2 linked regions of the Drosophila melanogaster genome follow. The protein of the gene in region 1 binds, or shares a complex with, the protein of each later gene. Each region holds a gene or a part of one and is shown on either strand. Other genes may lie near its edges.

Region 1 (3,758 bases):
TATTTACAGCGAACTTTTGATCCATGCACCCATGTCAAGCAAGTTTCTTCCGCACACACTGGAAATGTTGAGAAATAGATAATTTAATATTATTTTTTTGTTAACAATGAAATAGTTTTGTTATGTGATGGTTTATTTGGATATAAATTAAAAACAGAGCATTAATTCTTTACTTTAAATTGCTTGGCAACTTGACAATGATCATATACAAATGCAAAATGATGTGTAACAAAAATGAATGTAACTTCTTATAGTTTTCAAATTTAAATTTGTTTATTTGATTTATCCGTGTTGGGGTTCAGCCAATATTGCTTGTTTTTAACATTTTCAAGCTTCCCAGTCGATTTTAGATGCCATATTAGATGGCAAAACTAGTTTTTGGTTAATACTATAGTGCACGAAATTAATCCTGATCGGCTGCACTAACGAATTGTCCATTTTAAGGCAAAAAGTGTCTGTATAATTTTAACGTTGCGCCCTTTGTATATGTATGTACGTCATCTGTGTGCATGTATGTGCGCATATATTTCGTTAGAAGTGTGTGCGTGTGTTTTATTTTTTTATATGTAATGAAATTGCGGCTATACGGAGATTTTTCCGTTTGTTATGCCTTAGTTTTAATTATTGTTTTTGTTTTCCTCACGACTTTTCTCACTTGCCAGCAGTAATTTTAAACAAATCAACAATGTAACAGCAGTAACAACAACAAATACGAACGACCTGCAAAGTTGGTTATATTTTTTTCTCACGCACGCATACACATACACACAAACACACACAAATGCACACTAGCACATCGGAGAAGTAGAAAAATGACTTTTGTTCCTATTTAAGTAACTAATTGCGGGTATTTTACCTATTTATGGTACGGATTTAGATCTGTACTAGAGCACTATCTTTTGCATAATGCCGATTTCCGCCTCGTTAATGGCTCACTAAATTAAATATTGAATGGGGGAAATGTGAATGCCAAACACACAAACAAAGCAGCTACAAAATGATTCTTTTCTAGCCAACTATGCCGGTCCCTTTCTGGCGCACGCGTTTTCCCGTATCGGGCGCAGCGCCCGTTTCTCTCTCACACTCACTATGCAGAAAAGCTGCGTTTAATTGAATGAAATTGTTTAAGTTACTACAACGCAAACACTAGTCACTAATCACACCAACTAGTTAATGTTTTTTCGTGGCCAGTTTTAAACGCAAAACGCTCGAATTTCTGGCTGCCCTGCCAAGTCCGATGGGGTTGTTGATGTCGCATCCGATACATCGGATAGGAGCGGATGTATTTGCGCAGTCACTGCTCCCGCACCAGGGCTGCCAACTATCGATTGAACGATCAGGTCAAGAAGTAGCTAGAAATAAGCTGGCAAATATGAAGCGTTACGTACGTAGCGGTTATTTGATTTTAAGTTATGTTACATTTACGTACATATATAATATAATTGTATAACGTGTGCATACAAAATAATTGTTATAAAAATATACAAGCTCTAAGACCAAAATGCACTATAAATAATTTCTAAATGTTTAGACTCGTAACTTATGCAAATACGTAACATACGTATCATTTTACATGTTCAGATAAAAAAATATAGCTTTTATTTGGTCAAATACATTTTGCAAGATATTAACTAACGAAATACTTAAAAACCGCTAAAACAAAAAGCAAGACAAAAATCAAGCCAATATGGTATTCCACCCACTAAAACGGCGAACAAGTTTTCACATCCAATGAGCGATAACTTTGCACCCACAATCGATAGTTCCGCAGCTGCTGTGTGTGTTGGGCCGGCAAATTGTTAAACTGGCTGAAATTGTTAATAATGTTTTAAGAAATTGCGACACCAATTAAACCACCGCAATGTTTTCGATGTGCAAGCAGACGCACTCCGCCACGGCGGTGGAGTTTTCGATAGCATGCCGCTTCTTTAACAATCTGGATGAGAACCTGGTGGTGGCGGGCGCCAATGTACTAAAGGTGTACCGGATAGCGCCCAACGTGGAGGCGAGCCAGCGTCAAAAGCTGAATCCCAGCGAGATGCGTCTGGCGCCCAAAATGCGACTGGAATGCCTAGCCACATATACGCTCTACGGCAATGTGATGTCGCTGCAGTGCGTCTCATTGGCGGGTGCCATGCGGGATGCGCTGTTGATTAGTTTCAAGGACGCGAAATTGTCCGTACTGCAGCACGATCCCGATACGTTTGCGCTGAAAACTCTCTCACTTCACTATTTCGAGGAAGATGACATACGTGGTGGTTGGACGGGTCGCTATTTTGTGCCCACAGTTCGCGTAGATCCCGATTCCAGGTGTGCCGTCATGTTGGTCTACGGCAAACGGCTGGTGGTACTGCCCTTTCGCAAGGACAACAGCCTGGACGAGATCGAGCTAGCGGATGTGAAGCCAATTAAAAAGGCTCCGACGGCAATGGTCAGCAGGACGCCTATTATGGCATCGTACCTGATAGCACTGCGAGATCTTGATGAGAAGATCGACAATGTTCTGGACATACAATTCCTGCACGGCTACTACGAACCAACGCTGCTTATACTCTACGAACCGGTGCGAACCTGTCCGGGAAGAATAAAGGTGCGCTCCGATACTTGCGTTTTGGTGGCCATTTCGTTGAACATTCAACAGCGAGTGCATCCGATTATTTGGACCGTGAACAGTCTACCTTTTGACTGCCTACAAGTGGGTGTTTGAAAATGCCACTTACCTTTTAGGAGTCACAACGTTTAATGTGTCATTTTTCCCTTGCAGGTTTACCCGATTCAGAAGCCAATTGGGGGTTGTCTGGTAATGACAGTCAATGCTGTAATCTATCTCAATCAGAGTGTCCCTCCATATGGCGTCAGTTTAAACAGTTCAGCGGATAACAGCACCGCATTTCCACTGAAGCCACAGGATGGCGTTCGTATTAGTTTGGATTGTGCTAACTTTGCATTTATTGATGTCGACAAGCTGGTAATCTCGCTTCGCACTGGAGATCTATACGTGCTTACGCTTTGCGTTGACTCAATGAGAACGGTTAGGAACTTCCATTTCCACAAAGCAGCCGCCAGTGTGCTAACTAGTTGTATCTGCGTTCTGCACTCCGAATACATATTTTTGGGATCACGTCTCGGAAATTCCTTATTGCTGCACTTTACAGAGGAGGACCAGAGCACGGTCATTACGTTAGATGAGGTGGAACAGCAATCGGAGCAGCAGCAAAGGAATCTGCAGGACGAGGATCAGAATTTGGAGGAAATTTTTGATGTAGATCAATTGGAAATGGCACCGACCCAAGCAAAATCGCGTCGTATTGAGGATGAGGAACTAGAGGTTTGTAAACAATATACTTAAAGTTTTGAATTGTTTTTAAATTTGATCGTTTTTACAGGTGTATGGTTCTGGAGCTAAGGCATCGGTTCTTCAGCTGCGAAAATTCATATTTGAGGTGTGCGACAGTCTAATGAATGTAGCACCAATCAACTACATGTGCGCCGGAGAAAGAGTGGAATTCGAAGAGGATGGCGTTACGTTGCGACCACATGCGGAATCTCTGCAAGATCTAAAGATAGAACTAGTCGCTGCCACGGGTCACAGCAAAAACGGAGCTCTGTCCGTATTTGTAAACTGCATTAATCCTCAAATCATAACAAGCTTTGAGTTAGATGGGTGCCTCGATGTGTGGACTGTGTTTGATGATGCCACTAAGAAGTCTTCGCGAAATGATCAGCATGATTTCATGTTGCTTTCACAAAGGAATTCT
Region 2 (3,758 bases), on another chromosome or scaffold:
TTATGTTTGCTGTTTGCCTAAAATTATTAACTGCTGCTTGAGATTAGAATCAATGGCTGTTGGGTTTTGTCTTATATAGTACATTTTATTGCTATCACAAGTTAATCATACACATATACCGTCGGAAAAAACAAACTAAAATTCAATTGTCTGTAATGGAGTTTAATGCAAGCTCTATCTTTGGCCAAATCGCGGTGGCGGGTCACTAGTTGAAGGCGTAGAGCAGCAGCAAGATCACACAGAAGCCAATAACTGCTCCCAGGATCAGCGAATCGCGTCGCTTTTTAATGTTGATGCGCTGAATGAGACTGTGCATATACAACAAATAATTGGATAAGTAAATATGCATAAATTGAATTGAGAACTCGTCTGTCTCACCTGGAAATCAGTGGGAATCGATTGGAGATATCGTTAAAGCGGGTCTGCAGCCGCTTGAATGCTTGTCGCTGGGCGTGAAGATGGTCACGCGTCTCAATCGCGATATTTATCTGATCGTTGACCAAGTGACTGGCGCTGTTGAGGTGCCCGCTCTCCTTCAGGTACATTTCTCGCCGGTTTAGGCCCGAGATGGATGGACTGCCGGAGCTGGTGGCCAACCCTGAGCCACGAAGCAGCTCCTCTCGCTCGATTCGCATTGTGTGATTGGCGCAGATCTTATTGAACTCCTGGCGATACCCCTGCAGGATCTCTCGATGCCTCTGCAGTGTGTGCATGGCGGCTGCTCCAGAGGCGGGCAAATCGGACATGGACTCATTTAGCGAGGATAGCTGCAATTAAGAAGGATGAAATAGAAATGAAATCCTTCTATTCTATAGAAATTCTATAGATATGGGAATTGCCTAAAAAACGTAGATAACTTAACAAGCAAAACAATTTGAACATTTTGTGCTTCAGTCGGTGACTCATTCATTACTTGGAATTATCTATTAAAGTATTTATCAAATGGAATTCATTTAGCGAATTCAAAGAGGAATTCTTAAACATTTTCTTTTAAAGAATTTAGCAAAGATCAGAGCATAAAAAAAACTCGAATAATAAAGTATAATATATATACAGATTCATAAAAAATTGGAAAGTGATGGAATGTTTTCAATATATATAAGTTAATCGTGGCAGTTTTTCAATTGTGTGCTCAATTCTGCCAATTAAATTATGATTTTTGGGAAGGCTTAGTGGGAAATTAGTAATTCATAGTAGCACAAAGCCGGTGGCACAGAAATTTGCTTAATAAATAAATAAGGAATCCGCACTACATTGTTTCGGGTTTAATCCCTGCACCATCGCATGGCATTGGGTCACATATCGCACCTTCTCCAGCATTTGCTCGATCTCCTCCGACAGCGAATCGAAGACGTGCTCGCCCAGGAGCGGCGATGTGTCAACGCCTCCTAGTCCTCCACTTCCACCTCCTCCACTGCCAGCTCCGATTTTGCTGAATGCCACCAGCTTCAGGTCGATCTCGTTTTCCAGGCTCCGCGCCTGCTTCCTGAGCACTGTGCGGGAGGTCGAGAGGAGAGATAGCTTATATGGAAGGTAACCATTAAGTCCCACTGCTCACCATCGTAGCTGGATCCTCCCATTTGTCAAAAATAGTTTTCCTTTATTTGTTCGACTTTCGTGTGGCAATCGGTGTGACCAGGTCAGGCGGGGCCCAAGTGGAATGAGTTGAGAGTATCGGGAAAGATTAATAGCCAGATTTAATCTAGGCCCTACTTAATGAACAAATGTTTACGAGAAAATTAAATTGTCCTAATAACTTAATGTTAATGTAAAAGGAAAAAGTACAATGTTCTTTTCCAGCCCTTGTGTGAACAGGTCCATACCGGCAGTCATCAAACTTTGGTCACACTGCCGTGCACAGCGTTTTGTTGCCGGCGATTTGTAAAAAAGTTTGTTATTGATTACATTATTTTAGACATCATGACGCAGGCAACAGGTGATGCACGCATGCCAGACGAGGAAAGCGACCTGCTGCAGATCAAGCCACTGTAAGGAATCTTGATTTAAACCAGATAGAAGCTCAAGGGTAACGCTTATATTTCAGTGGTGCTGGCCAGGAAGTGGGACGCTCCTGCATCATGTTGGAATTTAAGGGCAAGAAGATAATGCTGGACTGCGGAATCCATCCGGGATTGTCCGGCATGGATGCCCTGCCCTACGTAGATCTAATAGAGGCGGATGAGATTGATCTGCTGTTTATATCACAGTAAGTACTGCGGCGATTAAATGGGCATTGAACTTTTAATGGTGAATGCTTATATTTATCAGTTTCCACTTGGATCACTGCGGTGCCTTGCCTTGGTTTCTCATGAAGACCAGCTTTAAAGGCCGCTGCTTTATGACCCATGCCACGAAAGCCATTTACCGATGGATGCTGTCCGATTACATCAAGATCAGTAACATATCCACCGAACAGATGCTATACACGGAAGCCGATCTGGAGGCCTCCATGGAGAAGATCGAGACGATCAATTTCCACGAGGAGCGCGATGTGATGGGCGTACGCTTTTGTGCCTATATTGCTGGTCATGTTTTGGGTGCCGCCATGTTCATGATCGAGATTGCTGGCATCAAGATCTTGTATACTGGTGACTTTTCGCGCCAGGAGGATCGACATTTGATGGCTGCCGAAGTGCCACCGATGAAGCCGGATGTTCTTATCACAGAGTCCACCTACGGCACTCACATTCACGAGAAAAGAGAGGATCGAGAGAATCGATTTACCTCGCTGGTGCAGAAAATTGTTCAGCAAGGCGGGAGATGCTTAATTCCAGTATTTGCTTTGGGCCGTGCCCAAGAACTGCTACTTATTCTGGATGAATTCTGGTCGCAGAACCCGGATCTGCACGAGATTCCCATCTACTATGCCTCCTCTTTGGCCAAGAAGTGCATGGCTGTCTACCAGACGTACATCAATGCTATGAACGATCGAATTCGACGACAGATAGCTGTGAACAATCCCTTCGTTTTCCGCCACATTTCCAACCTGAAGGGTATCGATCACTTCGAGGATATCGGACCCTGCGTAATCATGGCGTCGCCGGGTATGATGCAGTCGGGATTGTCGCGAGAGCTCTTCGAGAGCTGGTGCACAGATCCCAAGAACGGAGTGATTATAGCCGGTTACTGCGTGGAGGGCACTTTGGCCAAAGCCGTTCTCTCCGAGCCGGAGGAGATCACCACACTGTCGGGCCAGAAGCTGCCGCTCAACATGTCCGTCGACTACATATCGTTTTCGGCTCACACGGACTACCAGCAGACCAGTGAATTCATCCGCCTACTAAAGCCAACGCATGTCGTGCTCGTCCACGGCGAGCAGAACGAGATGTCGCGTCTGAAGTTGGCCCTGCAGCGGGAATACGAAGCAGATGCAAGCACGGATATAAAATTCTACAACCCGCGAAACACACATGCCGTGGATCTTTATTTCCGTGGCGAGAAAACCGCCAAGGTGATGGGAAGCCTCGCAGCCAAGAACTCGGAGGTGGGAAGCAAACTCTCAGGTGTTCTGGTTAAGCGCGACTTTAAGTACCACCTCTTGGCTCCTTCTGATCTGGGCAGTAAGTAATAGTTAGTTAGTTTCTTTGTAAAAATGTCGATTCATTTAAATAATTCCCACAGAATACACGGATATGAGCATGTCTGTTGTAACCCAACGCCAGTCGATTCCCTGGGGCAGCTCGCTGAGCACTCTAGAGCTACTGCTGGATCGCATTGGAGCCGGATGCGTTGAGGTGCTGGAGGCGGAGCGAAAGCTG

Evidence for each region. Proteins that work in one complex are often made in the same cells at the same time.
Region 2: Cpsf160 (region 1) and Cpsf73 share a complex: the UniProt entries of both Drosophila melanogaster proteins name them as parts of the cleavage and polyadenylation specificity factor (CPSF) complex.

What each region holds. Positions count from the first base shown.
Region 1 is NT_033778.4:14,501,468-14,505,225, reverse strand, and holds the start of Cpsf160 (cleavage and polyadenylation specificity factor 160), read left to right. Parts: upstream 1-1,737; 5' UTR 1,738-1,861; coding exon 1,862-2,695; intron 2,696-2,764; coding exon 2,765-3,328; intron 3,329-3,386; coding exon 3,387-3,758. UniProt on the Drosophila melanogaster protein: Component of the cleavage and polyadenylation specificity factor (CPSF) complex that plays a key role in pre-mRNA 3'-end formation, recognizing the AAUAAA signal sequence and interacting with poly(A) polymerase and other factors to bring about cleavage and poly(A) addition.
Region 2 is NT_033777.3:18,661,618-18,665,375, reverse strand, and holds the start of Cpsf73 (cleavage and polyadenylation specificity factor 73), read left to right. Parts: upstream 1-1,823; 5' UTR 1,824-1,920; coding exon 1,921-1,988; intron 1,989-2,044; coding exon 2,045-2,206; intron 2,207-2,268; coding exon 2,269-3,560; intron 3,561-3,621; coding exon 3,622-3,758. Other genes in the region: Gos28 (golgi SNARE, 28 kDa), read right to left, coding at 206-308, 379-767, 1,309-1,493, 1,559-1,580. UniProt on the Drosophila melanogaster protein: Component of the cleavage and polyadenylation specificity factor (CPSF) complex that plays a key role in pre-mRNA 3'-end formation, recognizing the AAUAAA signal sequence and interacting with poly(A) polymerase and other factors to bring about cleavage and poly(A) addition.